Linked DNA regions of Oryctolagus cuniculus. The protein of the gene in region 1 binds, or shares a complex with, the protein of each later gene. Links are inferred from orthologs where the notes say so. Each region holds a gene or a part of one and is shown in the gene's direction. Other genes may lie near its edges. The genes, in order: PRKAA1, PRKAB1 and PRKAB2.

Region 1 (10,290 bases):
CTAGAATCCATCCTCTGTAACCATTAGCTCTTCCCCAACCCAAGTAAGATTTACTTCTCCTGTGGTTTTTTCATATTCTCTTCTTCTACCTGGGATACCTTTCCCCATTTCTGCCTATTTCCCACACCACCCTTTTGCTTAAGTAGAAAATCTCTCTTAATATTCCTTTATTAACACACTCAAATCAAAGCCTTCACAGACCTCTACAGAGAAAGGTTACACCCTCCTCTCATGATGCTTTTTAGGACCATATATATATTTTTATTATAGCACCTGTTATATTGCTTTGTTTGCCACTGGAAGGCAGACACTGTGTTCCTTTGTTTAAGTCCCCAGTGTTTAGCAAGCTGTCTGATATATAGCTATTGTTTAATAAAGATAGATGTTAGTTATAAAGTAACTACAACTAGGCTAAGGAAATGTTAGGTTATATTAAGAACAGTATAATATACAGAATTTTTAGCCCTGGACATCATATGTAGAGACTGACATTGACAAAGTTTAATATCCACTTGATAGTCTAGAGTCTAATAACATTGTGATGACCCTGAGAAGAAAAGACCAACAGGAGAACATGCACTACAGAGCTAGAAAGGAGAGAGCTGACAATTAACTACCTTGTCCTCCACGAGACCAGAGGTTCCTAATCTTAGCGCTGAGTCACCCGGGTATGTCTTCATCAGGGCCGAGAGGTCCCATCACTTATCTGTACTAAAAAAAACTCACCCCCTAAAGGTGGTAAACAATTTACTTTTTTTTCCTTCTCTTAAACTAGAGTGGATTCAGGTTACTTCTATAATGTCACCCCTGCCCACCTATATTCCAATATACTATGGTGAGACAGAGATAGAATTACCACTGATAGGCTCAGAAACTGTGTGTAAGCCCCAGTTTACCTTATCTTTGCTCCCATCCTGGTTGGTTGAGAGGGTGGCTATTTAAAGAACGGTCACTAAAGACCCTGGCTTTTCACTTTTTTTAAAAAATGGAACTTGCCACAGTGTCTGATAGTAAACAAAACTGTGAAAGAAGAGAGAAGGTTTGGGGATGAATTCATGGGGGAAAATGAAAGGAAGAGACCAAAATTTAAAAAAGGAATGAAGGAAAAAAAAAAGCAAAGGAATACAGGAGACTTATTATTTTAGAAACTGTTAATTGGATTAAACATAAAAACAACAAAACCCCAAAATATCAGGCAGTTAATGCTGCTTAAACTGAGACTAAAGGAACTGGATAAGATGACCTCTAAAATTCCTACCCAATATTTGAATCTATGATTTGAGGCTTTTTATTTCCCCATCAATGCTTTTAAGTGGAAATGACATCTAATCACTATTTGTTAAATTGCATTATAATCTACAATAACATAAAGTAGAAACAAACTGATGTCCCTGCTTAAAAAAAATGTTTCCTTTTTGAATCTTCATGGTTTCACAAGGAGATTGGCAAACAGATTTGCCAGACTCAGGGTCAGTTTCCTCCTTTTCAAGAAGTTTAGTGGCTTAACTGACACAGAGCTGAGGTATCTTGTGATCTTTTTCTTTCATGTTAAATGAAATAGTAGAACTCTGCTGGGCTAAATTCTAGACATGATGCAAATTTAATGTAACTTAAGGTGTTATTACAGGGGCTGGCATTGTGGCAAAACAGGGTAAGTCACAACCTGTGATGCCAGCATCCCACATGAATGGTAATTTGAGTCCTGACTCTCCACTTCCAATCTATCTCCTGACTAATGTGCTTGGGAAACCAGGGGAAGGTGATCAAAGTGCTTGGACCCCTGCCACCCACATGAGACCCAGATGGAGTTCCAGGATCCTGGCTTTGGCCTGGGCAAGCTGTTGCCAGGGTTTGGGGAGTGAATCAGTAGATGGAAGATCTTCCTCTCTTTCCAGGTCTGCTAAGCTTAAAGGCAGGGATTTTCATTTCCCTTGCAATAGGATCTTTCGAACAAAACAGTCCTTAATACGTGCTACTTTGGTTTCTTAACAAAAAGAGGAGACAATCAGGACAGTTGGGTAACTTTCAGCTCATAACACTATTATTTAATTTCTCAATGAATTGATATACTGTCAGTAGGGCTAGTTTCTACCAAGAGAGTGACAATTACACTGCTTACAGACTCTCTACCCCAGCTTCAAAAGTGAAGAAAGTGCAGAGGGAAGCAGCAAGAGACAGTCCTGGCCCAAGGTCAACAGGCTAAACTTGGTGATGGCCTTCTTGCTGGCAGCATCTAGAGGCAGCCTGCACATATATTTTGGGAGCCAGAGAGAAAGCAAGTGGGAGATGGGAGAGTTTTAGAGGTAATTTATTTTTGTTGGAAAGGAAAATGATGACATTTCTTAGTTTTATACTTTCTTATACTCTTTTCATGAAGAGTCCAACTTTTTACCCATTGACACTGGTCCAAATGCTATGACACGGCAAAACCGAGAGCATATAAACTTTTTTTCTTTCTTTTTTGGATGACACATTTGACTTTGCCTACTGTTGGAGGCATGTGATAATTCTCCGTGGAATTCAGTAACAAACTTACTGAAAAATTATATTACAAATAAGCACACTTTACTTTCTCTGTGACATAGTATGGTTTCATCTACACAGACAATAAAGTTTTATTCCTTGCACATACAATAAATGGTCGATGTAACTGTAAACGTTATCGTCAGTCCCGTGATAGTGTGCATTTTACTGATAATCTAAACATAGTAATTCCTGTACAGCGAAAGGGCAGGGTAGCATCGCTTTCTGCCTGATAAGCATACAACCCCACAGGTGCCCAGCCTCCCTCTTCCTTAAGGAAAGCATCCAGGAGAAAACACCGACAAGCCTGCTTGAACTGCCCAATGGTAACTTATGGCTCACAGCGAAGTAAGAGCGATGCAGGGGAAAGTCCGAGAGGCAAATGAACACTCCCTGTGGCACCTGGACCCCGTCTGGGAAGGAAAGGTGATAATCAGGGAGGAGCCCCCTGCCATGGTTCAGTTCACGCTGCACAAGTAAAAGAGCCACGATCTGCACCACCCCAGAGGGCTTCCCAGGGCCCATCGCCCCTCCCCGGAATCTCAAGGAGAACGGCGCCCCCGCCCCGCACAGAAGCGGTTATCAGTGGCGCCCACTGCCCGAGAAAGGGCGGAGGGGCTACCGCCCTCCTGGACTACCCGGGAAGCTGGGCGGGTGCCGAGCCCGAAAGGATGCGGGGCGACCAAGGGGACTGGGGGGCCCCTGCCAGCGACCGCAGCCCGCCCCGCCCGGGGGAGCGGCGGCTCCAGGTGGCCAGGCCCGGGCGGCGCGCGCGGGGCGGCGGCTCGGCCCCGCAGCTGCTCGCCCGCGTCCCCACCCCCTCGCCGCCCGCCCGCCCCCGGCGCGGCCCTGCCCGCCCCCTCCGCCCCCTCCCGCGGCGCCGTGCGCAGACTCAGTGTCTGGAGGAAGATGGCGACAGCCGAGAAGCAGAAACACGACGGGCGGGTGAAGATCGGCCACTACATCCTGGGGGACACGCTGGGGGTCGGCACCTTCGGCAAAGTGAAGGGTGAGGACCCCAGGGGAAGGGTTTGGCCCCGGCCCGGGAGCCGCGGGACTCCCGCGTTTCGCACCTCTTCCTCCTCCCGGTCCTCCCTGTCCCTAGATTCCCGGGCTCGGCAGACCCTCTCCGGGCTCTGTTCGGAGCCGTGCCCGAAGCTACCGAGCGAAGTGGGCGCTGCTCCCTTTGCGGGTGGGAGTAGGGTGGGGACCAGTCGCCATGGCGACGGCGCTGCGGTCGGTGCGAGGGAGGAGATGCCGAGGTGCGAACTTTCCCAGGTGGCGGCGTCCGGAGCTGCCCCGCGCGCTAGGTCTGCAGCGTGGGGTCCCGGGGGTCTCGGCCAGGAGGCGGGGGAGGCGGCCTCCTGTCCGGCTGGTTGTGCTCTTGGCTCCACGCCAGCCCATCGCTTTCCTGGCGGTCCTCCGCCTTGTCCGTATTTCCGTCTTCAGCAGGCTAGGGAAAGCATAACGGCCCCTGCTGTTTCCTGAGCATGAGAGATGTTCTCCCAGTTGAGGTTGCTTTGAGTATAGCCTGAATAATTTTTTTTTTAAATCCATTTCGTCCGAAAAGATGACTGACCTTGTGTAAAGCAGTTAAGGGGAGCTGGTGCGACCCTTGGTTTACCTTACAAATGCAGACTCCCGACCTTCAGTGTTTCTGAATTACCGGTTTTGCAGTATCTGCATGCTGAACCTGGTAGGCTACTGTAGATGTTGCCTCTAGATAATATTTATTAATTAGTAGAGTTCGTTTCCTTTTATTTTGGGAAGATATTTATTTTTAATGTTTAGAAATTGATTTTTATTTACTTGGAAGACAGAGACAGACACATAGGTCTTCCATCTGGTGGTTCACGCTGCAAATACCCAAAATAGCTGAGGCTGGGGCCGGGCCAGGCAGAAGACAGGAGCTGGGAACTCAAGCAGGGTTTCCCTCTTGTGTGGCAAGGACCCAAATACCTGGGCCATCAGTTGCTGCCTCCCAGGGTGCACATGCACAGGAAACTGGAGTTGGAATTGGAACAAGAGACAAACCTAGAGACCTGGTGAGATGCAGGTGTTCTAAGTAGTGTCTTAACAAAACCCTGTCCACAATATATTTACATTTAATAAACAGATTAGTGCACACTGTTTAAACTTTTTTGTTAAGTGTGGAACTTAGTATCTCTCTCTTTTAAAGATTTATTTATTTATTTCAAAGAGTTACAGAGAGAGGTCTTTCATTCCCTGGTTAACTCCCCAATTGGCTGCAACGACCCGGGCTGTGCTGATCTGAAGCCAGGAGGCAGGAGCTTCTTCTGGGTCTCCCATGTGGGTGCAGAGGCCCAAGCACTTGGGCCATCTTGGACTGCTTTCCCAGGCCACAGCAGAGAGCTGCATTGGAAGTGGAGCAGCCGGGTCTCAAACCGGCACCCATGTGGGATGCTGGTGCTGCAGGCCAGAGTGTTAACCCCGCTGTGCCACAGTGCCAGCCCTGGAACTTCTTACCTTTATGAAAAGCATGAATATTCTGCAAGTAATAAACTTGCTCTCTAATCCAATCCTGATATAAAAAGTTTAAATTGCAAATTTTGTGAGGCATACATTCTTTTTCCTTACAAATATGACTTTGTTATTAGGGATGTGGAGGAAGTTTGGAACTGATAAGAATAATTATTGCATTGGCATTGGATAAATAAGAAGCCTTTGACTAGTATATACTAAGTTTTTGGTAAATATTTGATCTGGAAGAAAAGGTTTATGAAAGAGTATACAGTAAATTAACTGAGCCTTGTTCTGCCAGAGCTAAGTTAACATCCTCCCGGCCCCCCCTCCCCAATTTATTTATTTTCATTTTTTGAAAGTGAAAGATCTTGATCATCCATCCAATGATTCACTCCCTGAATGGCTACGACAGCCATGTCTGGGCCAAGCTGAAGCCAGGTGCCATAACTTAGTCTTTGTCTTCCATGTGAATAGCAGGGACCTGATATTTAGATCCATTACATGCTGCTTCCCAGGGTGTGCATTAGCCTGAGCTGGAATTGGAAAGGCAGCTGGGACTCAAACCAAGGCACTTGACATGGATGTGGGGCATCCCAAATAACGTCTTAGCTGATGAGCCAAGTGCGTGCCTCTGTTGCCGATTCTGAGCCATAGGTGTGGAATATTGTTGTATAACCCATGGGGATGGGCATTAACCAACAAGGTCAGTAGTATAATAAAGTAAGGAGCAAACTCCAATATGGAGTAGTAACAGCCATTAAGGTGGGTCTACATTAGGACAGTAACATGTTTCTGTTTTCTTGAAGTTTGTTTTTTTTTTTTTTCTGTGCTGTTTCTTGTTAGTGATTATAAACAGGTTTTTAGTTTGCCAGTAGTTGTAAGAAATGCTCAGTAATGTCTCTGAAATAGTGAAAGAGACTTTGTTGATGTCCTCACCCCTTTCTCAAAATTCTTTTTTGATTGGGATGTTCATCATTCTGCTAAAAAAGACCTGAACAGAGTCAAGTCTGTTTTCCTATTTGTTAATTGGCTTTTGGCACAGTAGATGGAGAAGGAATAGACATCTTCTGTTTTCTGGAGTTGATCTTTTGTGATGTGGCTGTGATGTGAATCTCTTCAGTGACTCTGCTGTTCCTTAAACTTCTCCCTGCAAATGTGCCTCTCATGAAGTGCCATAGTCTGTCCAATATAACAACCTCCCCAAATATAGAAGGACCAAAATGATAGCAAAAAGATCACAGATTTCATGGATATGGCTAAATATTTTTATAAGCATGTTAGTTGAGGGGCTGGCACTGTGACGTAGCTGGTTAAGCCACTGCCTGCAGTGTCAGCATCTCACATGGGTGCCAGTTTGAGCTGCTCTACTTCCAATCCAGTTCCCTGCTAATGCATCTGGGAAAACAAGAGGAAGATGGCCCAAGTGTTTGGGTCCCTTGCACCCATGTAGGAGACCCGGAAGTCTGGCCCAGCTCTAGCCTATGAGGCCATTTGGGGAGTGAACCAGTGGATAAAAGATCTCTCTTTCTCTGCCTCTCCCTCTCAGTTACTCTGCTTTTCAAATAAATAAATAAATCTTTTGAAAAAAGTTAGTTTATATATGTCATGATCTTTACCTAGTTAGTTTTTTTTAAGATATTAAACACTTGGGATACTTTTTGTCACAAGGAATAGAAAAATCCAACTCAGAGTAAGCACAACTATCTCTGGTTCTCTCAGAGCAAGGAAGGCTTGTGTACCTCTCTTGCTGGTTGGTCAGTGATACTATGTGCCATTTGACTTAGGCTTGTGTTCTTAAGCAGGCACTAGAAAGGGAGATAACATTACCTTTGGAAGATGATGGCCAACCCTTGGATGTGTATGTGTGTCATCTTCCAAAATACTTTTTTAGTGTAGGGGGGCAGGCAGGATAGGCACCTACACAGCAATAAGTATTGTTAGAGTTAAGATCAGAGAAAATTGGGATATAGATGCTTTATGAGTAGGCAAAACAGCCTGATTTTGACAAAAATTCTTTGCTATAACAGGATTAGCAATATAGTTAAGTCAAGACAATTTGGAATAGGTAGTTTTGAAATTAGTTATATTCATTGGTAAACTCAACATAGAAAAGGAATCTCATGGAATACGTAATATTGATAGGCAGAAAAACTCCCAGTATGATATTCCATGCTGATAGGAAATTTAATTTGGGAGAGAAGGTTGCTATAAATTCATAGTGATTTATTTTGTTTTCTGTTGCAAGCTAAAATATTTATTTGGTTGTTTGATGATAGCATTTTGGGAGGAAAGTTTAAACAAAAAACTATTAATTTGAGATTATACTTGAATTATGTTTTAAAAAAGATTTATTTAGGGGCCGGAATGGTGGTGCAGCATGTTAAACTGCTGCCTGCAATGCCAGCATCCTATATGGGCTACAATTCTAGTCCCAGTTGCTCTACTTCTGTTCCAGCTCCTGGCTAATGTGCCTGCGAAAGTAGTGGAGGATTGCCTCGAGGGCCACTTGTCATGCAGCTCGACAAGGCTAATGTGAAGTGTCAGAGGAATTCCACAGAACCATGATAGTCTTTTTAATATAATTTTTTGTTCGGTATCACTCAACATATATATTCAGTGCACACATTTAAGGGTCAGTACCACTCAATATATATATCATTAGTCCACAGATCATAACACATCTAGGAGTAAGACGATCTCTAAAAATATCCAGCAATAGTAATAAGTATGAAGCATAAAAAGCATAATCAATCTAAACACTCATGGCTAAGGGTGTATATGAATGCTGCATTCAGAGTCCAGAGTCCAAAGTCTTCGTTACCACTTGGAGAGCTGGATCTCAGAAGTCACTTACGGGCAGTGGTCGTGGAATGACTGGCACTCTGGGCAGTAGGCTCAGAGTTCCAAGTCGGATGGTGAGGTGAAGGGTTGGAGAGGTCACCGATGAGAAGTCCAGTCCGGTTCCAATGTCAGCTTCAGCAGCGGCTGGAACGTCCAGGCGAGGTTGGATCCAGTGGAGTAGTGAGCAGAGTTTCAGCCAGCAAAGACACAGGCAAAGTTTCAGCAGGATGTGGTGGATCTACTTGATCATCACTCGCATTGAGCCATGGTCCCTGAAGGGAAGCAGAGCAGTGGTGAGGCTAGCCTCTTTAGCCTCCTTCTAGAGTAGGTGGGCCGTGAGTGTGCTCTGGGGTGTCACCAATCACCGGCTCATCCTTTTTAGGTGTCACCAACCAGATGTTGGTGTTAGGGTGTGACCAATGGTGTGTTAAGTGTCTTCTGGGTGTGGCCAATCATGGTGCAGTAGTGTCGGTGAAGTAATGTTGTAGCCAGCTTTTATTTTATTTATTTATTTGACAGATTTAGACAGTGAGAGAGAGAGACAGAGAGAAAGGTCTTCCTTCCAGTGGTTCACCCCTGAAATGGCCACTATGGCCGGAGCTACGCCAATCCTAAGCCAGGAGCCACGTGCTTCCTCCTGGTCTCCCATGTGGATGCAGGGGCCCAAGCACTTGGGCCATCCTCCACTGCCCTCCCGGGCCACAGCAGAGAGCTGGACTGGAAGAGGAGCAACCGGGACTGGAACCCGGCGCCCATATGGATGCCTGTACCGAAGGCAGAGGATTAACCAAGTGAGCCATGGCGCCGGCTCCGGTTGGCTGCTTCTTATGATGTAATGTCCTCCTGTCCATATCAGGCTTCACCACCTGTGTCTGTTTCTGACAGATGGTCTGGGCAGTTCCTGGTGCTTAGTGGCCTTAGCTTAAGTAACTCCGTTTTTGTTCTGCTTAGTAGCATTAACTTAAGTAACTCCATTTTGGTTTTGCTTTTTCTCTTTCTTTTTGGGTTAGAGGTGCTCTGTAACTCTTGTGGGACTCCAGTGTGATTACCCACAACGATCACCCAGGTACTTGAGCCCCTGCAACCATGTGGGAGACCTGGAAGAAGCTCCTGGCTCCTGGCTTTGGCTTGGCCTGGCCCCAGCTATTTAGGGAATGAATCAGAAGATGGAAGACCAGGCACTGTATCTCTCCCTCTCTCTATATGTAGTTCTGCCTTTCAGATAAATAAATCTTAAAAGATTTTTTTATCTTAAAAGATTTATTTATCTGAAAGGCAGAGTTACAGGGAGCAAGAGAGAAAGATCTTCCTTCTGCTGGCTCACTCCCCAAAGGGCCACAACAACTGGGGCCAGGCCAGGCAGAAGCCAGGAGCCTGGAACTCCATCTGGATCTCCTATATGGGTGGCAGGAGCCCAAGCATTTGGGCCATCTTCTGCTGCTTTCCCAGGCACATTAAGGAGCTGGAGTGAACCAGATGAAAGAAGCTTTGAATATCCTCTCTGTCTCTCCTTCCTCTCTCTGTCACTCTGCCTTTCAAATACATATATAGATTGATACACAAATATTTCTTTCTTTTTTTTTTTTTTTTTTGACAGGCAGAGTGGACAGTGAGAGAGAGAGACAGAGAGAGAAAGGTCTTCCTTTGCCGTTGGTTCACCCTCCAATGGCCGCCGCTGCAGCCGGCGCACCGCGTTGATCCGATGGCAGGAGCCAGGATCCAGGTGCTTTTCCTGGTCTCCCATGGGGTGCAGGGCCCAAGCACCTGGGCCATCCTCCACTGCACTCCCTGGCCATAGCAGAGAGCTGGCCTGGAAGAGGGGCAACCGGGACAGAATCCGGCGCCCCGACCGGGACTAGAACCCGGTGTGCCGGCGCCGCAAGGTGGAGGATTAGCCTATTGAGCCACGGCGCCGGCCATACACAAATATTTCTTTAAAAAGGGGAAGAGGCAATTAAGTGTCCAAGTGTGAGTGCATATATATGTGGAGTGTGTGTCTCTTTAGAGGTTTACACAAACCTGCTTTAGTAGTTGTTCAGGGAAAAGTAGCAGGGAGACATTACACTGAATATCCTTTTTTGTTCTTGTTTGAGAGTCAGACAGGGTTCTTGTCTACAGGTTCACTCCCTAAATGACTGCCATAGTTGGGGCTGAGCTGGGTCCAAAGCTCAGAGCTGAAACACAATTCAGATCTCTTGTCTGGATGGCAGGAACCCATTTACTTGAGCCATCAATGCTGCATCCTAGTGACTGCATTGGTTGGAAGCTGGAACCAGAGCTAGGGCCTGAAATTACATCCATGTATTCCTGTGTGGTATATAGACATCTTAACCACTGGGCTAAACACATACTCCTCATATATTCTTTTGTACTTTTGTGTATTTGGTACATGCATTACGTATTCAAAATACCTAAAATTAAATCTGCAAAAAAAATCACATG
Region 2 (10,236 bases), on another chromosome or scaffold:
TCCCTCCCTCAGTGACTGTTCCAGCTTTATCATCTACAGCAGCCTGATCCATCAGCTCGCCCCTCGCCCCGTGACCTGTCCATGTTGCCAAAAGACCTCTACAGAAGTCTGGTTTCCTGCATTCGCGTGCCGGTTCCATGACTGGCTAGCTGTGTGACCTATGAAAGTCACTGCATCTCTCTGAGCTTCAGCTGCTAACAGTAGATCCCTCAAAGACTATAGGAGGGGCCGGCGCCATGGTGCAATAGGTTAATCCTCTGCCTGCGGCACCAACATCCCATACAGGCGCCGATTCTAGTCCCAGCTGCTCCTCTTCCAATCCAGCTCTCTGCTGTGGCCTGGGGAAGCAGTAGAAGATGGCCCAAGTCCTTGGGCCCCTGCACCCACATGGGAGACCAGGAAGAAGCACCTGGCTTCTGGCTTCAGATCAGTGCAGCTCTGGCCATTGCGGCCATTTGGGGAGTGAACCAATGGAAGGAAGACCTTTCTCTCTGTCTCTCCCTCTCCCTGTCTGTAACTCTACCTCTCAAATAAATAAATAAAAATCTTAAAAAAAAAAAAAAAAGATTATGGGAGGCTATTTGCCTGCTATTTGTCTACACTTCTGAGATTTGCAAGTCTGCATTTTTACAACCAGTTGAATTCTACAACAACCCATGTCCCATTTGTATGGTATTATAAAATTTGCAATATCAGTGATCCCATGATTTAGATAATGTTATTCCCATATATAAACCCTTCCATGAATCCCCATTCACTTTAAACAAAATGCAGAATGTTCACTAATGGCCAGCAAGGCCCAGTGGGCCAGCAAGCCTTAGGGTTGGTGTGGATTTGAAAGCAGAGCTGAGCTGGGCTCCTGTCAATGGCTGTGGTGAACAGTCCTGATTTGTTTTGGGGAAAATATATGGCATCTTATCATTTGCCCTGATTCCAGATTAAGACCAGCAAGCAGATGACACCTGGACATTTGTCCTCCCCAGCCATCCCCACCCCAGCTTCCAAGACAGAGTGGTTGGACTCCCACCAGCAGAGAATTAGGGAAAGAAGAGGCATTTCCGGTGCTTGGAAGAAGCATGAACCGTTGTTAAATAAATAACAGAAAGTGACCCACGCGAGACCTAGCTGGGGCCTAAGGAAGGAAATACTTGTGATTAGAGTCCACCCCACCGTGATTTTCAGTATGGGACCAATAGCGGATACCAGTTTGTCCACGAGATTTTAATACAATATGGCAAGACTCTCCCATAAGCAGCTGCACAGACCTCCTGTCTTCAACTTTATACCTTTGAGATCTCCCTCGGTGTGTGTCAGGTCGGTTTTAAGGGGGCTGGCACTGTGGCATAGTGGGCCGGGCCTCCCCCTGAGGCTCCAGAATCCCATAGGTGCTGGTTGTGTCTCAGCTGCCCTTCTTGTGATCCAGCTCCCTGCTATGGCCTGGGGGGAGGGGGGCATAGAGGATGGGCCAAGTGCTTGGTCCCTGCACCCACATGGGAGACCCGGAAGGAGCTCCTGGCTCCTGGCTACAGATCAGCCTGGCTCTGGTCCTTGTGGCCAGTTGGGGAGCAAATCAGCAAACGGAAGATCTCTCTTTGTCTCTCCCTCTCTCTCTGTCTGTAACTCTGCCTCTTTAATAAATAAAATCTTTTAAAAAAATCACAATGTAGTTTTATAAACCAGACTGTTCCACAACATACACTTCAAAATCTGGAAAAATTTATCTACCTGCTTTTATGTAACAACAAATAGAAAAAAAAAATGCTCACTGGAGCTGGTGTTGTGGCATAGCAGGTAAAAGCCAACACCTATGATGCCAGTATCCCATATGGGTGCCGGTTCGAGACCCAGCTGCTCCACTTCTGATCCAGCTCCTGGCTAATGCTCCTGGGAAAGCAGCAGAAGATGGCCCAAGTGCTTGGGCCCTTGCACCCATGTGGGAAACCTGGAAGAAGCTCCTGACTCCTGGCTCCTGGTTCCTGGCTTCAGCCTGGCCCAGCCCTGGCTGTTGCAGCCATTTGAGGAGTGAACCAGTGGGTGAAAGACCTCTGTGTGTGTGTGTGTGTGTGTGTGTGTCCCTCTCTCTGTGTCTGTGCCTTTCAAATATATAAATAAATAATTTTTTAAAGTGCTCTATAAAGAAACATTGAGCACAGAGAAGACCCCACTATTCCTTCTGGAAGTCTCAGGGTGGTTTCCAGGGTTCGACTGCGTGGACTGCGCTGTCTGGCAGGCTCTCTGCTCCAGCGACTCTGTTGCTCCTGTTCAGATGCTCCTGTTGCACAGAGGCCATGGCCACTGCAGGTGCACCCAGTGCATTCGTACCAGTTAGAAGAAAGGTGCTCACGCCTCCAGGTACACGGTCTGACGAATGGAGCCCGGGGGAACTCGCAGGGCCCATTTGCCCCCTACAGCCTCAGGCACTGGGCGGTCCCCTTGGCTGGGAACCACTGACAACACCCTCAGGATGTCATTTGCGGTGTTGGGCATCAGGGGCTCATGCATTCGCTATTATCTTACCCAAGCCAGAGCAGACATCTTGAAACTCCCTCACGCATCAGGGCATCTGCATAGCCCAGATAAGACGTGCTGTTTGAGAAAAACCCAAAACTCCACTTGTGCATGGCTTCCTCACTGCCTACGGTAGCAAGGCAGGACCAGGAACAGACAGCTCACAGCACACATTCTGTGTGTCACCCCCACTACCTTGGCTGATTCAATTCAGCGAGCACATCCAACATTCTTACAGGAAGTACACTCAGTCTCACAGCCATCCGCTTCAGGAGCCCTTGGGGGCTCCCCGTCCCTGGCCTGGCTTGCGTCCCACTGGGGCTCCCGTAGAATCCCTCGCCCTCCTCCACTAACTGACTTTCTACCAGTCTGTTCCCACCTATACTCTAGTGGCTTCTCTGGGGCTGAAACTATGTCTTACTTTTGTTTTTTTTAAGATTGCTTCTAAATTGAAAAAGTCAGACATCCTCACAGCAGAAAAAAAAAAAAAATCAAACAACACATAGGGGTATAAACTAAAGAATGAGAGGTGCCCTCCCATCTGGTCCTGTTTCCAAAGGAACCGCTATTAACAATGCATTGTAAACCATCCCAGGAGTTTCCATGTGCAAGCATAATGCTAACAATTACTGCATGTTTACGAACACTCAGATGCCGTGCTAAGCATATTTGTGCATATTGCCCACTGACTCACAACAGGAGCCTGTAAGATGAGGGTTATTTTTATTCCTCATACTGCAAAAGAGGCCTAGGTGACAGTAAGTATAAAGCCACATGTTTAACCCAAGAGGTTGGCATCAGAGCCCATGTCCCTAACTCCTGTTCTGTCTCAGACCCTCTCCCCAGGTAACCCCTTTCCATCCCTTTCCTTTTTAAAACATGGTGCAGTATTCTACAAAATGACTGTTTAATCCACTTAGCCATTTCCCCACTAACAAACGTTCCAGATTGGTCAGGCTGTCATTTCGTTATTTCTTCGTATCTAAGATGGCACCAATTCTAAGAAATATCCAATTTCAAGAGATTAGAATGTAAAAAAATTAATAATGTTTAATGTAAAAAAAAAATAATGTGCCTCTTACACTTACTATGCTCTCAGAGCTGGTGTGGCCAATGAACCGGCTCAGCTATAGTTCCTTGTGTGATATTTCTGTAGATGGGTTCCCAGCGGTAAAATCGGAAAAACGAAGGTGCTTTTTTCTTTATTATTATTATTTTGAGAGAAGCTGCCCACTCTAGAAGACTTCGTCTTGATCATCTGTGTTTCCCATTTCCTTGCCACAACATCGGGACTTTGTAGGTACTAAACAGATGTTCAGTGAACAAAACGCACAACCAGGTCCGGTGAGGTATTGTGTGAAATATACAAAAAACAAAAATAAGGCAATGAGATTAGAATATTGAAGGGTCATACGTGCATACTCTTTGCTGACCCACGTTCTGTAGTAAATGACAAATGCTAATCATGCCTTTGCAAAATTACTCATCAAAAACCTACGCACTGGGGCCGTCATTGTGGAGTAGAGGATAAAGACGCTGCCTGCAATACTGGCATCCCATGCGGGCACCGGTTCTCGTCTGGGCTGCTCCACTTCCCACCCAGCTCCCTACTAATGGCCTGGGAAAAGCAGCAGAGGATGGCCCAAGTCCTTGGGCCCCTCCACCCACGTGGGTGACTGGGATGACGCCCCTGGCTCCTGGCTTTGGCCTGGCCCAGCCCTGGCCATTGTGGCCACCTGAGGAGTGACCAACGGATGGCAGATCTCTTTCTCTGCCCCCCCCCATCTGACTTTCAAATAAATAAATAAATCTGTAAAAGCCTACGCACTGAATTTAATAAAAGTTCTCTTTTGTAGCCCTCGAGCTACTAGAAGGAAGAAACTTCTAGCAAAATGAGTCTAATGCATCCTAAAGCGTTAACAGCCACGGCACCAAGGGGCTTTAAGCAAAGGGCGGTTTCTTAATCAGACTTTTGCACCTTTAGCCGTACAGGGTGGCACCAGAGAAGGCGGCCTAGTACATCCATTGGCATCGCTCTCTCCAGCGCAGGTAGAGTGGCCCAGGCCGCCGGTGCACTGGTGCGCCCCCTGCCGGCCCTCCACGGCCTCACGCTGGGTCGGGCCCCCCGTGCGGCCGACTGCGACTGCGCGGCTCTGAAGCCCACGGAAGCCAGCCATCGCCGGAAGCGGAAGTGACGACGAGTTAGCCCCGGGCTGCGCCCGCCACAGCCTCCCCCGTTGTGGGGCGGAGTCGCCGGAAGCGGAAGTGGCTGAGGGGTTGGGGGAGTTGTCAGGATAGTGCCGGCTAATCTTCCCGCTTGTAAGGTCCGGGCGCAGGGGAGGCGCGACTGCGAAACCTCGCGCAGCCTGGCGATCCCGCTCCAGGCACCTCCCGACCCTTCCCCGGACTCGTGGGGAGTGCCACCCGGCTCGGCTTCCCCGTGGCCCCGCAGACCCCCGCCATGGGCAACACGAGCAGTGAGCGCGCCGCGCTGGAGCGGCACGGCGGCCACAAGACGCCCCGCAGGGACAGCTCGGGGGGCGCCAAGGACGGGGACAGGCCCAAGATCCTGATGGACGGCCCCGAGGACGCCGACCTCTTCCACTCGGAGGAGATCAAGGTGCGCGGCTCGGGGGGCGCGGGCAGGGGGGCGCGGCCCCGAGGGAGGGGGCCGCTCCCTTGGCGCTGCACCGCAGGCCGCTCGGGGGACAGTTTCCAGCTCCTAATTAATTCAGGGCGTCGCGCCGGCGGGAAGTGAGCCCCGGCCGGCCGCGTTTCTCCCAGGTGTAATTAGTCTCACGGCTTCGGGAAGTCCTGCGTGCCCCGCAGGCAGCCCGGCCCGTCGTAGGAGTGGGTCTGGGGGCTGTGCGGTCCGCTTTGGGGAGGTGGGGGGGGGGCGTGGATCAGGGCACACGTGGAAGCAGAAGGAAGAACGGCCGGGCGCAGGCCCCGGCGGCGTCCGGCGGTGGAACGCGGGCTCTGGGAGGTGGCGGTGGGTGGGCGCCCTTGTGTTGTGTCTGGGATTCAGTATTGGAAGCGGGCCAAAGCACACCTCTTGGCAGGCCGCATCGGATCCCCTGGGACGGTCTGCTTTGTGACGAGCCCAGCGGGTCCTCCTCTCCCACCAAAGCCATGATCCTGTCCATCGCCTGAGAACTCATTCCTTAAAGGGACGGAGTAGAGAGGATGAAGGGGACCCTGTTAGTATGCACCTGCACACGATTGACTCACTTTTTCCCTCCATTGTTGGGCTGGGTGCTGACACCGTCTCACACCCTCAGATCTTAGTTGGGGGTCTGACTAGGAAGATCTGCTGTTACCTGGCCCTCCATCCTGTGCTTGGACCTTGTTTCCTGAACTTGTTGCATTTCCAGAAAGCTGCCTGCAACCTGAACTTTGGAACCGTGTTGACTTAACGTCCCTTCCCCCAGAAGTACACGGGACCCCAGCAAGGCTATTGAAGACACCATAGCTTTGTGCCAGAAGTGCTGGTGTTGCGGTCCACCTGTGTAGCAGATCTGGGGAGCATACATTGTAACTGCCTGGAATCATGCAGCAGATTTAACCACACCTGTTCACCGTGGGGGCTGTGGGCGTCACATCCTCCCTGCACTGTGGTTCTGGTCTGGCATTCTTTAACCCACAGGTCTTGTTAGAATTCCGTAGACACATGCATCTTGCAGATAAGCTCAGGCGCCAAAGGCCTGCTGGACGCCCCAAAAGCCTGTCCCCTCCTCCAGCTACTGCCCTTTGAAAAGGTCTTGGCGTCTGGCCAGGAAACTTTGTTTAAACATCCTTTATTTATTTCTCCCAGAGCTGGATGTGTTTATGTCTCTCTTAGGCCAGAACACTTCAGTTACACAACACTTACACTGGACGTTACACTTCATCGTAATGTCTTATTTAGTATCTCTTCTCACCAGCACCAGGACAATGTTCCTGCCAGTGAATAGTCTTTCCCTTCCTCAAAGTCTGGATCTGCCGATTTTCAAACTGACCGGTTCTGGAATGATCCCTCACTTATGTTCACATAGTTCCAGTCTTGTTTAACGAAGGGAGGAAAATGACGTTTATTAAGCAGTTTTCCAAGCATATCTGATACTTTCCCCTGGAGTTCTAATGCAGAGCTCCTTTTTAAAAAAGAAAAGTTCTTTATCTGAAAGGCTGAGAGAGAGCTTCCGTCCTCTGGTTTATTCCCAAATGGCTGCAACGGCCTGATTTGGGCCAGGCCCAAGCCAGGAGCCAGAAGCTCCATCCAGGTCTGCCAGATGGGTGGCAGGGGCCCGAGTACTTGGGCCACCCTCTGCCGCCTTGCCCGGCGCATTAGCAGGGAGCTGGACTAGAGGCAGAGCAGTGGGCCTGTGGAGTGGAGCCAGTGCTCAGGTACGGGACGCCACATGGATCCACCGTGTCACGGGCAGCGGCTAACACGGTGCCCCACTGCGCCAGCCCCACAGGTGGCCTCTCTGCTAGTGAGGGACACAGTGCTGGGTAGGAGGCGCTTCCACACGTCCTGTCGGTCACTCGGCAGGACATTTCCACGTGGACTGTCCGCCTCAGTCTTCCCAACAACCTTAGGAATGTTTTCATCTCCGTGGTGCTGGTGGGGAAACTGAGGCACAGCCAGCCGACTACAGGGTCATGGCAGCGCCTCTTCAGGCTGCACTGGCCGGGAGCTCATTGACCTCCTATCCCGCGACACCCGCTCTGCTTCCAGGCCCCCGAGAAGGAGGAGTTCCTGGCCTGGCAGCACGATCTGGAGGTGAACGACAAAGCCCCCGCCCAGGCCCGGCCGACGGTGTTCCGGTGGACGGGAGGCGGGAAGGAAGTGTACCTCTCTGGGTCCTTCAACAACTGGAGCAAGCTGCCCCTCACCAGAAGGTAACGCCGGGCGCTGCCTGCGTGTGCCGGGAGCCGAGACATGGCTGCAGGCGACCAGGAAAGGGCACGAGGAGGAGAAACCCTCCTCACGGCCTCACAGGGGTGACTCCCACAGCGCCTGTGCTGGAGGACCCGCCCGCTGGCGTCCCAGACATCACCTGGCGGGGTGGGCGGAGCGCTGGGCTGGGAGCGAGGGCCGCAGGCACAGCCTGCTGGCTGGGCTGGGAGTTTGCAGCAGGGGATCCCTGTGGTCCCTTCCGACTTTGGGTCCCAGGATCGCATCTCGTTTGGAAGGTAGGGGCCGCGCGGGCCTCGTCAGCAGGTGTGACGCGTTCCCAGGAACCTGGCCCGGACTCCTGTCTCAGGTTGTCCTGAGAACGCGTCAGCGTTGCTGAGCGCTGGGGATGAGGTGCCCGGCTGGGTCCTCCTGGTTGTCGCCCGGGGCCGCGTGCGTCTGTCAGCAGCCCGAGTCAGGAGCAACGCTGGGTGACGCTAGTGCCCTGGGACCTTTTTTAATTTTTTTAGTAGTTTTGCAAGTTTCTTTAGAGAATGTTTATGTCCTATTAAATCGATCCCCTCTCCCGCCCGAGGCAAATAGCACAAAGCAAAACGAGACAGCTTCCTGTTTACCTTGTGTCGCCGTCCTGGGCGTCCAGGGCCGCCACGCTGGAGAACGCGAGTGCCTGTTTGTTGACCTTTTGGGTCAGGAGCGTGGGTTCCTAGTATTTGAGCAGAGCGAGTTTCCCGGGAGGCCCGTGCTGCCGCTGCCTCCCAGCCTCTGCGGCGCCCTGCAGCTCGGCTCTGGGCTTCCCGCGCAGCCTTCTGGTGTCGTTCCGCGGCTGGTTTGACAAGGGAGCCTTGGAGTGGCCCAGGCAGGTGAAAAGCTCTGGTTCCTTTTTCCTTGCAGCCACAATAACTTTGTAGCCATCCTGGATCTGCCAGAAGGAGAGCATCAGTACAAGTTCTTTGTGGATGGGCAGTGGACACACGACCCTTCGGAGGTACCCTTCCTCTCCAGCGCGCCCCCTTCCCCAGGGCTCGCGGGCGGGTTCCTTTGCCCCATACAAAACGTGCCCGTGTGGTCTGGGCTAGGCAGCAGAGCCGCTGTCAGACTGCGGGCCCGTGTGACCGGGACGAGCAGGGTGGCCAGCCAGGAACCCCAAGTCCTCGGCAGAGTGACTCACAGCCCTCCCCTCATGATTCTGCCTCTGTCTCTCCCCAGCCAGTAGTGACCAGCCAGCTTGGCACGGTTAACAACGTCATTCAGGTGAAGAAGACGGACTTCGAAGTATTTGATGCTTTAATGGTGGACTCCCAAAAGTGCTCCGATGTGTCTGGTACGAACACAGCCGCTCTATCCCACACGCGCGCGTGGGGCTCTGCGGGCTCCAGATGTGCTTCCTGGCTCCGGCTCTTGTGTGTAGCTCCCTGCGGAACCCCAGACTCACCCCTGACTCTGGCAAGTCAGGTTGTTGAAATTTGCCCCCTCGGGAGCTGTAAGTCATGGCACAGGTCTTCTCAGACATGCGGGGGGTCTGTCTCGCCCCAGACAGCAGGTAATGGAACAGGACCAGAGCTTGCACTCATGCCAGGGGCAGCGCCGAGGAGGCCCTGGAGAGAGACGTGGGGTCGGTGAGGAGCCAGCGCTGGTAGGCCTGCCGGCTCACTTCCCGCCTGCGCTGCCTGGAGGACTGCAGCCTGACAGGTGATAAGCGGACACCTCAGTGATCGTGGCCATCACCTGTGTGCTCCATTAGCACCTGCCAGGCCCCCTGACAAGGGCCGAGGCGGCTCACAGGAAGCAGGCTACACAGCACTCCTTCCAGGAGCCTGCTCGACACACTCCTGGCAGAACTTGCCCACCTCCCAGGAGTCTGAAGCCTTGAGGGGTAGATGAATTGCTTTCTACCCAGCCCCCCGGAAGGAACTACCCAGGCTCTGTCAAGTTCAATTCAGGGTCAGCGCTCCCTGTCCTTTCGGGGGGGGGGGGGGGACGCTGTGGACGGTGCCCGGATCCCACAGGAGGCCGTGAAAAGGCTCCCCAGGGTGCGTCTGGCAGTCACAGGTGACAGGTTCAGGTAGTTGATAGGACGCCTCTCGTTGCTCAGCTGGGCCCGGAGGTTCTGCCACCAGGATCTCTCAGCGTCACCAGCGGCTGACAGGTCAGGCTGCCAAGTGGGACCTCGGGATTCAAAAGTAGGTTGTTTTATCCGGATCACTAACTAATCTTCTAGAGAGCTGAGTTGCTTTTGTTTTTCACATAGATAGGAATCCGGGGAGGGAGAGAATCCAAACACCCTCCCACCTGCTGGTGACTCTAAACATCAGGCTGCTGTGCCCATCACAGCTGGGTGGGAACACGGCCCCTCGCTGCTGCCGAGCCAATGGAGGCTCTCATTGGGCACCTTCCTGATGCTCCGTCTGTACTCCTCCCGGCTCTTCTCAGGGTCCTGCTGTGATGGGACCGGGTCAGGTGCGGGGGGGGTGGGGCCTGTCCCCTTGGAAATGAGGGTGGGGACTCGGCCCCTCGCGGCTGGCCAGACCTCACTGAGCGAGCTCCTTCTAATGTGAACACCACACTTCTGGAAGCTTCTTAACATATCTGTACAATCAGGAGACTCAGGCAAGGGCTTTGGCAGGAACTTGAGTGATAGAATCAAAGAGCCTTTAGAAATCGGGTTTTCAGTTTTGGGTTTTATTTTTTGTTTGAAATGTGCCATGCCTTACATAACCCGTTTTTCTCCACTGCCTCTGGGTAAGCAGGCAGCTTTATCTTCTGTTCCATCGTGACTGGCGATGCGCATAGCTTGTGCTGAGCCACTTAATCCTCTCTCGAAGCCTTAGCTC
Region 3 (10,261 bases), on another chromosome or scaffold:
TGCCCATATGGGATGCGACACGGCTTCACCTGCTCAGCCACAGCACTGGCTGGATCTTAACACAAGAAAGGAGGTGGGGTACATGTTCTCTTTGATCTTCAGGCAGCTTAATCCTCTTGCTGTTTCTCCTGGCTTTCTCGAACTCCTCAGCTCCTTTGAAGCACTCACTGCCTGTTTATAGACCTGTTTATTGCCCTCCTTTGGTGAAGATTTGAGCACAAAACTCTCTCCAAATGCATAACTACTGCTGCCTTTGATTTTAATACCTATGTAGGTCATACTCTCACCCATCCAATTGATTACGAGTAGGTTCTGCTACCGTCTCAGCTCATTTTCTGTTGCAATAACAAAATATCTGAGACTAGGCCGGCACCACGGCTGACTTGGCTAATCCTCCACCTGCGGCACCGGCACCCCGGGTTCTAGTCCTGGTTGGGGCACCGGATTCTGTCCCAGTTGCTCCTCTTCCAGTCCAGCTCTCTGCTGTGGCCCGGGAAGGCAGTGGAAGATGGCCCAGGTCCTTGGGCCCTGCACCTGCGTGGGAGATCAGGAGAAGCACCTGACTCCTGGCTTCAGATCAGCACAGCACGCCAGCTGTAGCGGCCATTTGGGGGGGTGAACCAACAGAAAGGAAGACCTTTCTCTCTCTCTCTCTCTCTCACTGTCTAACTCTGCCTGTCACAAAAAAAATCTGAGACTGGGTAATTTGTAAAGGAAAGAAGTTGATCTTAGGTCACGGTTCTGGAGGCTGGAAAGTCAAAGAGCATGGTAGTAGCATCTGCTTGGCTTCTGGGGAGGGCCTTGTGCTGCTTCAACTATGGTGGAAGGTGGAAGGGAAAGTGGGCTTGCACAGACCAGCCGGAAGATGTCGGGGGCACTGCTTCAGAAGAAACCACTCTCACGGCTAATCCGGTCCTTCGGGAGGCAAAATGCACTCCCTTCTCTGGGCTGGCAGCAGTCCATGTATGAGGGTGGAAACCGTGACCCGAACACCTCTCACCAGACACTCCATCTCCCAACACTGCTACGTTGGGGCCAACACATGAATTCTGAGGCCACACACTCAAACCACAGCAGCCACATACAATAGAAAAACCCCAAATAACAATGGCCTACACAGTATTGAAGTTTACTTCCCCGTCATCTAAAGACGTCTGAAGGTAGATAGTCCTGAGACAATAAAACAATTCCACAGCTCTTCTTTCTGCTCCACTACCCTCACCATTTGACTTCCACCTTGTGGTCCAGACTGGGTGCTAGAGTTCCAGCCATTACATGAACATTCTACACAAAAGGAAAAAGAACTATAAGAAGAAGAACATGCCTTTTTCTTTTAAGGAAACTTAACAGAAGTACAATATAATATTTCCACTTAGATCTCATTGGAAGAACATAGTCAATATATCTACCTACCAGAGAAGCTAAGAAATGCATCTTTTTTTTTCCCAAGAAGCAATGGGTCTAGGTAAAAATCAAAGTACTATTATTAAGGAGGAAGAGAGGATGAATATTAAAGTAGAACTCCAGCATTCTTTGCCAATGGCTTTTCTTTTTATTTTTTAAGTTTTTTTATTTATTTTATTTGAGAGGTAGAGTTACAGACAGTAAGAGGGGGAGACAGAGAGAGAGGTCTTCTTTTTGTTGGCTCACTCCCCAAAAGTCCACAACAGCTGGAGCTGTGCCGATCCGGAGCCAGGAGCCAGGAGCCTCCTCCCAGTCTCCTATGTGGGTGCAGGGGCCCAAGGACCCAGGGCATCCTCTACTGCTTTCCCAGGCCACAGCAGAGAGCTGGGTTGGAAGAGGAGCAGCCAGGGCTAGAACCAGCACCCATATGGGATGCCGGCGCCACAGGCTGAGGTTTAGCCTACTGAGCCAGGGCGCTGGCCCCTCCAATGGCTTTTCGACTTGGTTTGGATATGATTTGTCCTTGCCAAAATTCACGTTCAAATTTAGTTGCAATGTAGAGCTTTAAGGAGTGATTAGTATCTGTCTCATGAGATTGGTCTAGTTCTTGCAGCCTGTGTTAGTTCTCAGGAGTGGGCTGTTAGAAAGCTGGTTGAGGGGCCAGCGTTGTGGCATAGTGGGTAAAGCTGCGGCCTGTGATGCTGGCATCCCTTATGGGTGTTAGTTTGTGTCCCAGCTGCTTCCATTTGGGCACTGGATGGAGTCCGGGCTGCCCCACTTCCAATCCAGCTCCCTGCTAATGGACTGGGAAAAGCAGCAGAAGATGGCCCAAGTGCTTGGGTCCCTAGCACTCATGTGAGAGAACTGTATGAAGCTCCTAGCTCCTGGGAGTGAACCAGTGGATGGAAGATCTCTGTCTCTCCCTCTCTTAACTGTGACTTTTAAATAAATAAATAAATAAATAAATAAATAAAAAGATTTTGGAGGGGTGAGCAAGAGACTGCAGTAAAATGGTACTTTTTTCTCTGTAAATTGTCTGTGGTTAAGAGCCAGAGAATGAGTTTACAAGGGGGCAAAGCAAACCTCTCTCTACAGATAGAGCCCCTCACTCATAAAGATGGGTGGGGTGCCTTTGGGTCCCCAATCACTGGCCATTTTCAAGCCTAAGTCGCATATCTTGTTAGAAACGTGTAACGGTATGCATGTCCCCTTCACTCTGCCAATGCTTGGTAAAAAGCTTTGTACGAGGTGCATGCAGAATACAGACAGAAATCACACGTGGTTCCGCTGTAGGCCAGCTGTCAAAGCACCCTCCTCACAGTCCCAGGTGGTCTTGTTAAAGGGCGGAGCCTGATTCCCTATGTGGGAATGGGGCCCGGGAGTCCGCATGTCGAACAAGCTCCCTGGTGATGCCGGGGCCGCTGGCGGACACGAGTATCCCAGGCTGACAGAGCTTTGCAGTAGGGAACGAGACACGGATGAGATAATAATACACAGCAAGGATCCGCAAAGGCCCCGAACCTCCATTCATGATCACAAAAACGGGGTCCCTCCCAACCCGAGGGCTGTCTGTGCCCTTATTATACCTTCCGCGTTCCTTCTGATGGGTTTTGCTGCTGCTCTGTCTCCGGAGTGTTATTTCTTCCAGGGGTGCCCACCGCACAGGTTCATTCCGCTAACATTTCACTAATCCTCACGGGCTAGCGGCCGATCACTCCATCTTGAGCTCTTCCCGGGGACCCCAGTCGGGCTGACTTCTCTCCCCCGGTACCCAGTGTTCGCGTCCAGGGACAACCACTCCTTCCTTCTGCTCGGGGCCGAGGTCCGTTCTCATTCCCTGTAGGAAGCCACCTCTCCGGGTCGCCCAGGGCCATGACGCCGCGCACACCACGCCTGTGGGGCGCCTGAGGCGGGGTGAGGACGCCCGGGGAGCGGCCGCCGCGGGTCCTCCCGGCAGCCTGTTCCCACGGAGCCCACGCCCCGGCGGTTCCGGACGCCGCCTCCCTCCCGCCCTTGTGCCCCCGCGCGGCCCGGCGCTGGCTGCGGCGCGCGGCTCACCATCGAGGCGGCGGCTAGAGAGGCGGGCGGGCCGCAGGGAACGCGCACGGGGCGGGCCCCCCGCGCCGCTGGCCTTGTAGCCATTTTAGGAGGAAACCAGGGGCGCTAGCTCGGGGCGCGGCTTCAATTTCAATAACTTTATTGGTGGCGTCACCCGCGGGACGGCCATCGCGCCGGTGGCCTGGACAAGAAGGAGCGCATCGCCGGAGGTGGTGACGGGCGTGGGCGCCCTGGGGCAGGCGGCGCGGGCTGCGGGGGAGGTCCCCATAGCGGTTCCCTGAGCCGGGGCCGCGCCGAGGCCCGGGAGTTGCGGGGGTTCCCGCAGGCCGGGAGGGAGGGGATTCCCTCGCCCGGGTCCGCGGGCGCAGGGGCGGGGCCGGGGGCGCCGGTGACGGACGCGGCGTCTGGGGTGTTCCCCGCCCGGTGTGGTGCCCCCGCGGCAGGTGGCCCCCGACTGGAGCCGCGGTCATGGGAAACACCACCAGCGACCGGGTGTCCGGGGAGCGCCACGGCGCCAAGGCTGCGCGCGCCGAGGGTGCCGGCGGCCATGGCCCGAGCAAGGAGCACAAGATCATGGTGGGGAGCACGGACGACCCCAGCGTCTTCAGCCTGCCTGATTCCAAGGTAAGCGGCCTCACGCCCCAAGACGTCGGCGGTGCTGCAGCCGGCTTGGTTTCGGGCTCCTCCCTTGCTGGGTTCCTTCTCATGACACTGAACTGGGTGATGGGTTTTTGAATTAAAAGGGATTTTCCGAGTCGAAGGTGTTGGATGGTAATTCCTCTTACGGTGCTGCTTCAAAATAGGGCGAGGCGGCGGAATTCTCTGACTAGTCTCTCCGCCACGTTTTAAAGGATGGGGACAATAGACAGCCGCCGTTTCGGGTACCCTCTTGGAGTGTTGATGAATTTGCAGATTGTAAACTGGGTGGGGAAACTTCGCAGGGGAGGTGGCAGTTTTTCACATTGGCCCTGAGGGTGGCTCAGTGAATTTCATTTTCCTGAAAATGTCTGTGTATCAGTGTCATCTTTGCCTTTCTAGGAGCTCTGCACTTGAAATTCTCTTCCCCTTTGGTACGGCCGTGAGCCGCGACTCCTTGCCTTCTTGACTACTTTGTCCTAGGCTTGGGATCAGTAGGACGTCATTTGGTTGACTGCTTTTGCTTGGTCCAGCACTGGTGTGGTGGCCGACACCCAGCTGCTTGCTGGGAGGGCAAATGATTCCCAGTCCCCTCTCCTCTCCAGGAGAACTTGAGAGTGTTGCCCGTGGCTGAAAACACCCACCCCCAGCTGCCCCTCTGAAGCGCCTGCTCTCAGTTCCTAGGACTTCTGGGAAGACCAACTTGCGTTCACACTACAGAATGGACAGATGGCGCTGACAGCCATATGATTCCAGAGCAGTGTCTAATCACTCTTAGAACTGTCGGCATGAAATGCATTTAATTTCTCCAGTTGGGCTGAGTAGGGTGAAATAGAACAATGGAGAGACAAAGATGGCAGGGTCTGATGTTTTTATCACTTCATCACTTTCGTCCAACTAGGGCCTCTGGGCAGAAAGAGATCCTTATTTGCCACATTGCTAGTACAGGAAATTTGCATGCTGTGGTTTCTTTATCTTCTGGAATCCCCATTGAGAACAGAATCACAGACAGAAAAGAGAGTGATTGAAAGGAGTTGTTTTGGGATTTCTTTTCTGGTGCTTTTTTTCCCTTTCAACTTGAGAATTTCTTCCCCATCATTTGGGCTGTCTCCGCAGCCACCTGAATTTACTTGTTCAGAATTTTCCCAACGTGATCTGCCTCCTGTGTTTTTACCCTTTTTTGATGTTAATGACTCAGGATTTAAGAACAGTGTGGTTGTGAAACTGTGACTGCAGCATTTGATGGCCTCAATAAAAGCTAGGTTGTTGTGTCTGAATTGGGGCCTATTTTGGATCATTTTTTCCCCCACATTGCAGTCTTGCCATTTGTGATATTTAAAAATTGGCTTATGTAATTCCTAAGGTTTCATCCAACTCAAAAATTTTGTAGTACTCCATCTACTCTCTCCTTTCCTCAACATGTTTCTCACCTATTTCCAAACTATGGCTCTAGCTGTTGTTTTGCCCCTTTTCCTGTTGGTTTTGCCGACTATTTAACTTGGAGCAAATATTCTTGCTGCCAGTCGGCTGCATCCGTTCCTACCACAGAAATGTTGTGTCATAAGTGGGAGGGCTTTCCTCCGAAGCTAGGCATATTAATAGTCCATAGCTTTCAGATTCTGCACTGAAGATCTGTCATAAAAGTAACTGACGGAAACAGTGGTGGGAGGCCCAGAGGGCTCCAGGTGCCTGCCTCCATCACCAGACTGGTTGGGTGGTTCTTAATCCTGGTTGCACATAAGAATAACCTGAGATTTGTTTCAGTTATGGTGACTCTGAAACCTTTACCAAGTAGCAAGAACAGTATAATGAACTCTGTGTACCTGTCAGCCATTTTAAACAATGACCAAGTCATGAATGAACATGTGTCATCTAAGTCCCAATCCACTGTATCCTCACCAAAGTATTTTGAAGCACATTGTAGACATTGTATCGAGTATTGTATCATAACATTTTATAATGTGCTAAAGGTGATTTTTTCGCTTTTAGTAGAAAGTCACACTGTTATTATCAGGGAAGATTTTTAGAAGTAGATTACCAGCTCCTGTATCTGCCTCAGAGCCTGAGAGTTATTGTTAGGTCTGTTAAAAAAAAATCCTGTGAGTCTGATGCAGCCAGTCAGGCAGGAAGGCATTGCTTTGAGAACATGAGGACCGGGGTTTTCTCTTAAGCCTGAATTATGCTATTACTGGGGTCTCATACTTAGTTTTGAGGAATATCAAAAGGCGCTGTGGGGTCAGCAGTTTGGGGCAGCATTTTAGAATGCCACTTAGGGTGCCCATATCATATTGGAGTGTCTGTGTTGAAGTCCCTCTGTTCCCTGCTAATATGCACTGTGGGTAGCAGCAGGTGATGGCTCAAGTACTTGGGTCCCTGCCAGCTGTGCGGATTTTCTCTACCTATGTGGACTGGGATTGAGTTTCTGGCCCACCCCATCAGTCTGAGTCATCCCTGGCTGTTGTGAGCATTTAGGGAGTGAACCAGCAGATTGGAGATCTTTCTGTCTGCCTTTCAAATAAAATAATAGTAAATAAATAAATAAATAAGTTCTGAAAAAGGCAGTATATGGAAGGTAGATTACCTCAACCATTTTGAAACAAATGCCCAAATGAATAAGCTAGTCTTTTTTTTTTTTTTTTTTTTTTTTTTTAAGATTTATTTATTTATTTGAAGGGCAGAGTTACAGAGAGGCAGAGAGAGTGGGAGAGGTCTTCCATCTGCTTATTCACTCCCCAGATGGCCACAATGGCTGAAGCTGTGCTGATCCAAAGCCAGGAGCCGGGAGCTTCTTCCGGGTCTCCTACATGGGTGCAGGGCCCCAAGGACCTGGGACATCTCCCACTGCTTTCCCAGGCCATAGCAGAGAGTGGATCAGAAGTGGAGCAGCCAGGACTCAAACTGGCACCCATATGGGAATGCTGGCACTGCAGGCGGTGGCTTTACCTGGTACCCCACAGTGCTGGCCCCAATGAGCTAGTCTTGTTTATTTTAAACCCATACTACTTTTTTAAAAGACATTATTTATTTTAAAGGTAGAGTTAGAAAAGAGAGAGCGAGAGGGATCATCCGTCTGCTGGTTCACTCCCCAAATGGCCACTATGGCCAGGGCTGGGCCAGGCCAAAGCCAGAAGCCAGAAGCCAGGAACTTCATCCTGGTCTCCCATGTGGGTACAGGGGCCCAAGGACTTGGGCCATCCTCTGCTGCTTTCCCAGACACATTAGTAGGGAGCTTGATTAGAAGTAGAGCAGATAGGCTGGTGCCTTGGCTCACTAGGCTAATCCTCCGCCTTGCGGCGCCAGCACACCGGGTTCTAGTCCCGGTCGGGGCACCGGATTCTGTCCCGGTTGCCCCTCTTCCAGGCCAGCTCTCTGCTGTGGCCCGGGAGTGCAGTGGAGGATGGCCCAAGTACTTGGGCCCTGCACCCGCATGGGAGACCAGGAGAAGCACCTGGCTCCTGCCATTGGATCAGCGTGGTGCGCTGGCCGCAGCACGCCGGCTGCGGCGGCCATTGGAGGGTGAACCAACGGCAAAGGAAGACCTTTCTCTCTGTCTCTCTCTCTCACTGTCCACTCTGCCTGTCAAAACATAAAAAAAAGAAGTAGAGCAGATGGGGCCGGCACCGCAGGTGGAGGATTAGCCTACTGAGCTGTGGCGCTGGCACTCCAGGTTCTAGTCCCGGTTAGGGCGCCGGTTCTGTCCCAGTTGCTCCTCTTCCAGTCCAGCTCTCTGGACTCTTCTCTGACAGTGGAGGATGGCCCAAGTGCTTGGGCCCTGCACCCACATGGGAGACCAGGAGGAAGTGCCTGGCTCCTGGCTTCGGATCAGCGCAGTGCGCCAGCGTGGCAACAACCATTTGGGGGGTGAACCAATGGAAGGAAGACCTTTCTCTCTGTCTCTCTCTCTCTCTCTCTCACTGTCTAACTCTGTCAAAAAAAAAAAAAAAAAAAAAAAAAAAGAAGTAGAGCAGATGGGACTGGAACTGGCACCCCTATGGGATGCCAGCATCACACTTTACCTGCTACACCACAACACTGTCCCCTAACCTATACTATTTTATGGGTACTATTTTGACTTAATACTGTACAGTCTTATTTGCCTATTTACCAAAACCAAAAGTAAGGAGGGTCATCAGACTTTCTCAGTAAATGGCCAGATAGTAAGTGTTTTAAATTTTGGGGACAGGGACCGGTACTGTGGCATAGCAGGTAAAGCTACAGCCTGCAGTGTTGGCATCCTGTATTGGGTACTGGTTCAAGACCCAGCTGCTCCACTTCCAATCTACCTCCCTGCTAATATGCATGGGAAAGAAGCAGAAGATGGCCCAAGTCCTTGGCCCCTGCACCCACATGGGAGACCAGGATGAAGCTCCTGGCTTCAGCCTGGCTCACCCCTGGCCTTTTCAGCCATGTGGGGAGTGAACCAGCAGATGGTATCTCTCTCTCTCCCTCTCCCTCTCCCTCTCTGTAATTTTGCCTTTCAAATAAAATAAATAGATCTTAAGAAAAATTGGGGTGACCATAAAATCTCTGTCACAGCTATTCAAGTCTGCCACTGTAGTGGAAAACAGCTGTAGATAACGGGCATATGAGCATGGCAGTTTCCCAAAGTGACTTTATAAAAACATCTGGCTCTAGTTTGCCACCTCTTAATCTAAAGGAAAGAAGTAATAAGAAACTAAGGAGTTAGCTTTTTTCAGATTTCTACAAACCTCATTTGATGATGGAATTACTTTTGTTGAAGGAAGCTGTGTTTTTGATCTTTTGTTCCATAAGGCTCTAGAATTTTCACCCTTACTTCTGAAATAATTAGTGTATACCTGGCAGGGTTGAGCAAGATTTCATAACCACTTCTCAAACTTTAAGAACTTTGTCCTTTCCCTTGTAACTTATTAGCTAGAGTATGAATTATGACTTTTATTGGTATCTTTCTTTTATTTTAAGTGCTAATTGAGAGCTGTTGCCTATGAAGGACATATGGCTAATTTAATTATTTGTTGTTTGTATGGACCCATTCTTGGTTTTTGTCGCTCCCCCTCTTCGTGGAGGAACGACACTAAGTCCTGCCTAGGCTTCCTATCCGAGTCACGGCACCATTATGTCGCTCCCCCTCTTCGTGGAGGAACGACACAGGACCCTGCGCTGTTCTTTCATCTGCTCGGCCCTCCCCGGGTTTGCTGCTGGTTCTTCCCGGGTTGGCTACTGTCCCTTCCACCTCCGTGGAAGGGCAGTTCCCCCTGGCCACATTCCCCACTTCCGCAGGGGAGTGGCACTCCGCCGGCCGGCTCTCTGGGGGGCTGCACAGGCGTTCCCCTTAGATGTTCCCCTTAGATGTTCCTGGTGCATGCCGTCTCTCTCCTCCTTTATAGTCCTCCGCCAATCCCAACTCGGCTGCCCACACGCCGAGTACGCTGCTCTCCTCCAATCAGTAGCAAGTCCTGCAGCTTGTCAAGTTGGTGAGAGGCAGCTGTGCGGAAGCTGTTTACTTCTCTCCCAGCGCCATATTGTGGGAGAGCAGATGCATAGAATAAGTCTTAATTCCAGTAACTCAGTCTAGTCCGGTTTGCTCCCCACAGTGGGAGAGCAGATGCATAGAATAAGTCTTAATTCCAGTAACTCAGTCTAGTCCGGTTTGCTCCCCACAGTGGGAGAGCAGATGCATAGAATAAGTCTTAATTCCAGTAACTCAGTCTAGTCCGGTTTGCTCCCCACAGATCCCCCTTTCTTTTTATTTTTGGCGTTGATACGCGCCTGTCTTCGGTGTCCCGCGGCACACACTCTGCTCTGCTTGCTAGAGTTGCCACAGGTTCTTACAAGTCCTATCAATCAGGCAAACCGAATCCGGGTCCTCTCTTCGCCATGTTGTGAGGAGGTTTTTAGGCGCTGATGCATGCCTGTGTTCGGTGCCCTGCAGCGCATGCTCTGCTCTGCCCGCAGGGGCTTACAAGCTCTATCAGGCAAACCGAATCCAAGCCTTCTCATTGCCTTATTGTGGGGGAGACTTATTAGTGTTGGTTCGTGCCTATCTTCGGTGACCTGCAGCTCATACTCTGGTCGAGCTGCTTGCTGGCGCTTACCGCCTTAAATCAGGCAGACCGAATCCAAGCCTCCTAATTGTTACATTGTGGGGAAGCCTTACTGATGTTAATTCGTGCCTGTCTTCGGT

What was found.
Region 2: the proteins of PRKAA1 (region 1) and PRKAB1 are in contact, whole or in part, in a crystal structure (PDB 6C9H), measured with the Homo sapiens proteins. The link is inferred for Oryctolagus cuniculus from reciprocal best matches to the Homo sapiens genes PRKAA1 and PRKAB1. Residues at the interface, in NP_006242.5 of Homo sapiens: Gly20, Val22, Lys23, Ile24, Thr32, Lys40, Lys42, Asn59, Arg60, Ile63, Arg64, Val69, Ile72, Arg73, Ile76, Gln77, Val93, Ser95, Thr96, Pro97, Ser98, Asp99, Ile100, Phe101, Met145, Met175, Ser176, Asp177, Gly178, Glu179; in NP_006244.2 of Homo sapiens: Pro79, Val81, Arg83, Leu103, Pro104, Thr106, Val113, Ile115, Asp159, Phe160, Glu161, Val162, Phe163, Ala165, Leu166, Met167, Val168, Asp169, Ser170, Gln171, Arg201, Ala202, Pro203, Pro204, Ile205, Leu206, Pro207, Pro208, His209, Leu210.
Region 3: the proteins of PRKAA1 (region 1) and PRKAB2 are in contact, whole or in part, in a crystal structure (PDB 4RER), measured with the Homo sapiens proteins. The link is inferred for Oryctolagus cuniculus from reciprocal best matches to the Homo sapiens genes PRKAA1 and PRKAB2. Residues at the interface, in NP_006242.5 of Homo sapiens: Gly20, Val22, Lys40, Lys42, Asn59, Arg60, Gln61, Lys62, Val69, Arg73, Val93, Ile94, Ser95, Thr96, Pro97, Ser98, Asp99, Ile100, Met145, Met175, Ser176, Asp177, Gly178, Glu179, Phe180, Arg199, Leu200, Ala202, Pro204, Glu205; in NP_005390.1 of Homo sapiens: Val80, Arg82, Ser84, Ser108, His109, Asp111, Ile115, Ser138, Asp159, Phe160, Glu161, Val162, Ala165, Leu166, Ser182, Ser184, Gly190, Gln191, Glu192, Met193, Tyr194, Ala195, Phe196, Glu199, Arg201, Lys203, Ser204, Pro205, Pro206, Ile207.

The regions. Positions count from the first base shown.
Region 1 is NC_091445.1:66,051,705-66,061,994, reverse strand, and holds the start of PRKAA1 (5'-AMP-activated protein kinase catalytic subunit alpha-1), read left to right. Parts: upstream 1-3,377; 5' UTR 3,378-3,432; coding exon 3,433-3,532; intron 3,533-10,290. UniProt on the Homo sapiens protein: Catalytic subunit of AMP-activated protein kinase (AMPK), an energy sensor protein kinase that plays a key role in regulating cellular energy metabolism.
Region 2 is NC_091452.1:15,720,874-15,731,109, forward strand, and holds the start of PRKAB1 (5'-AMP-activated protein kinase subunit beta-1), read left to right. Parts: upstream 1-4,723; 5' UTR 4,724-4,969; coding exon 4,970-5,128; intron 5,129-7,225; coding exon 7,226-7,389; intron 7,390-8,296; coding exon 8,297-8,390; intron 8,391-8,611; coding exon 8,612-8,726; intron 8,727-10,236. UniProt on the Homo sapiens protein: Non-catalytic subunit of AMP-activated protein kinase (AMPK), an energy sensor protein kinase that plays a key role in regulating cellular energy metabolism.
Region 3 is NC_091438.1:50,109,624-50,119,884, forward strand, and holds the start of PRKAB2 (5'-AMP-activated protein kinase subunit beta-2), read left to right. Parts: upstream 1-3,531; 5' UTR 3,532-3,930; coding exon 3,931-4,086; intron 4,087-10,261. UniProt on the Homo sapiens protein: Non-catalytic subunit of AMP-activated protein kinase (AMPK), an energy sensor protein kinase that plays a key role in regulating cellular energy metabolism.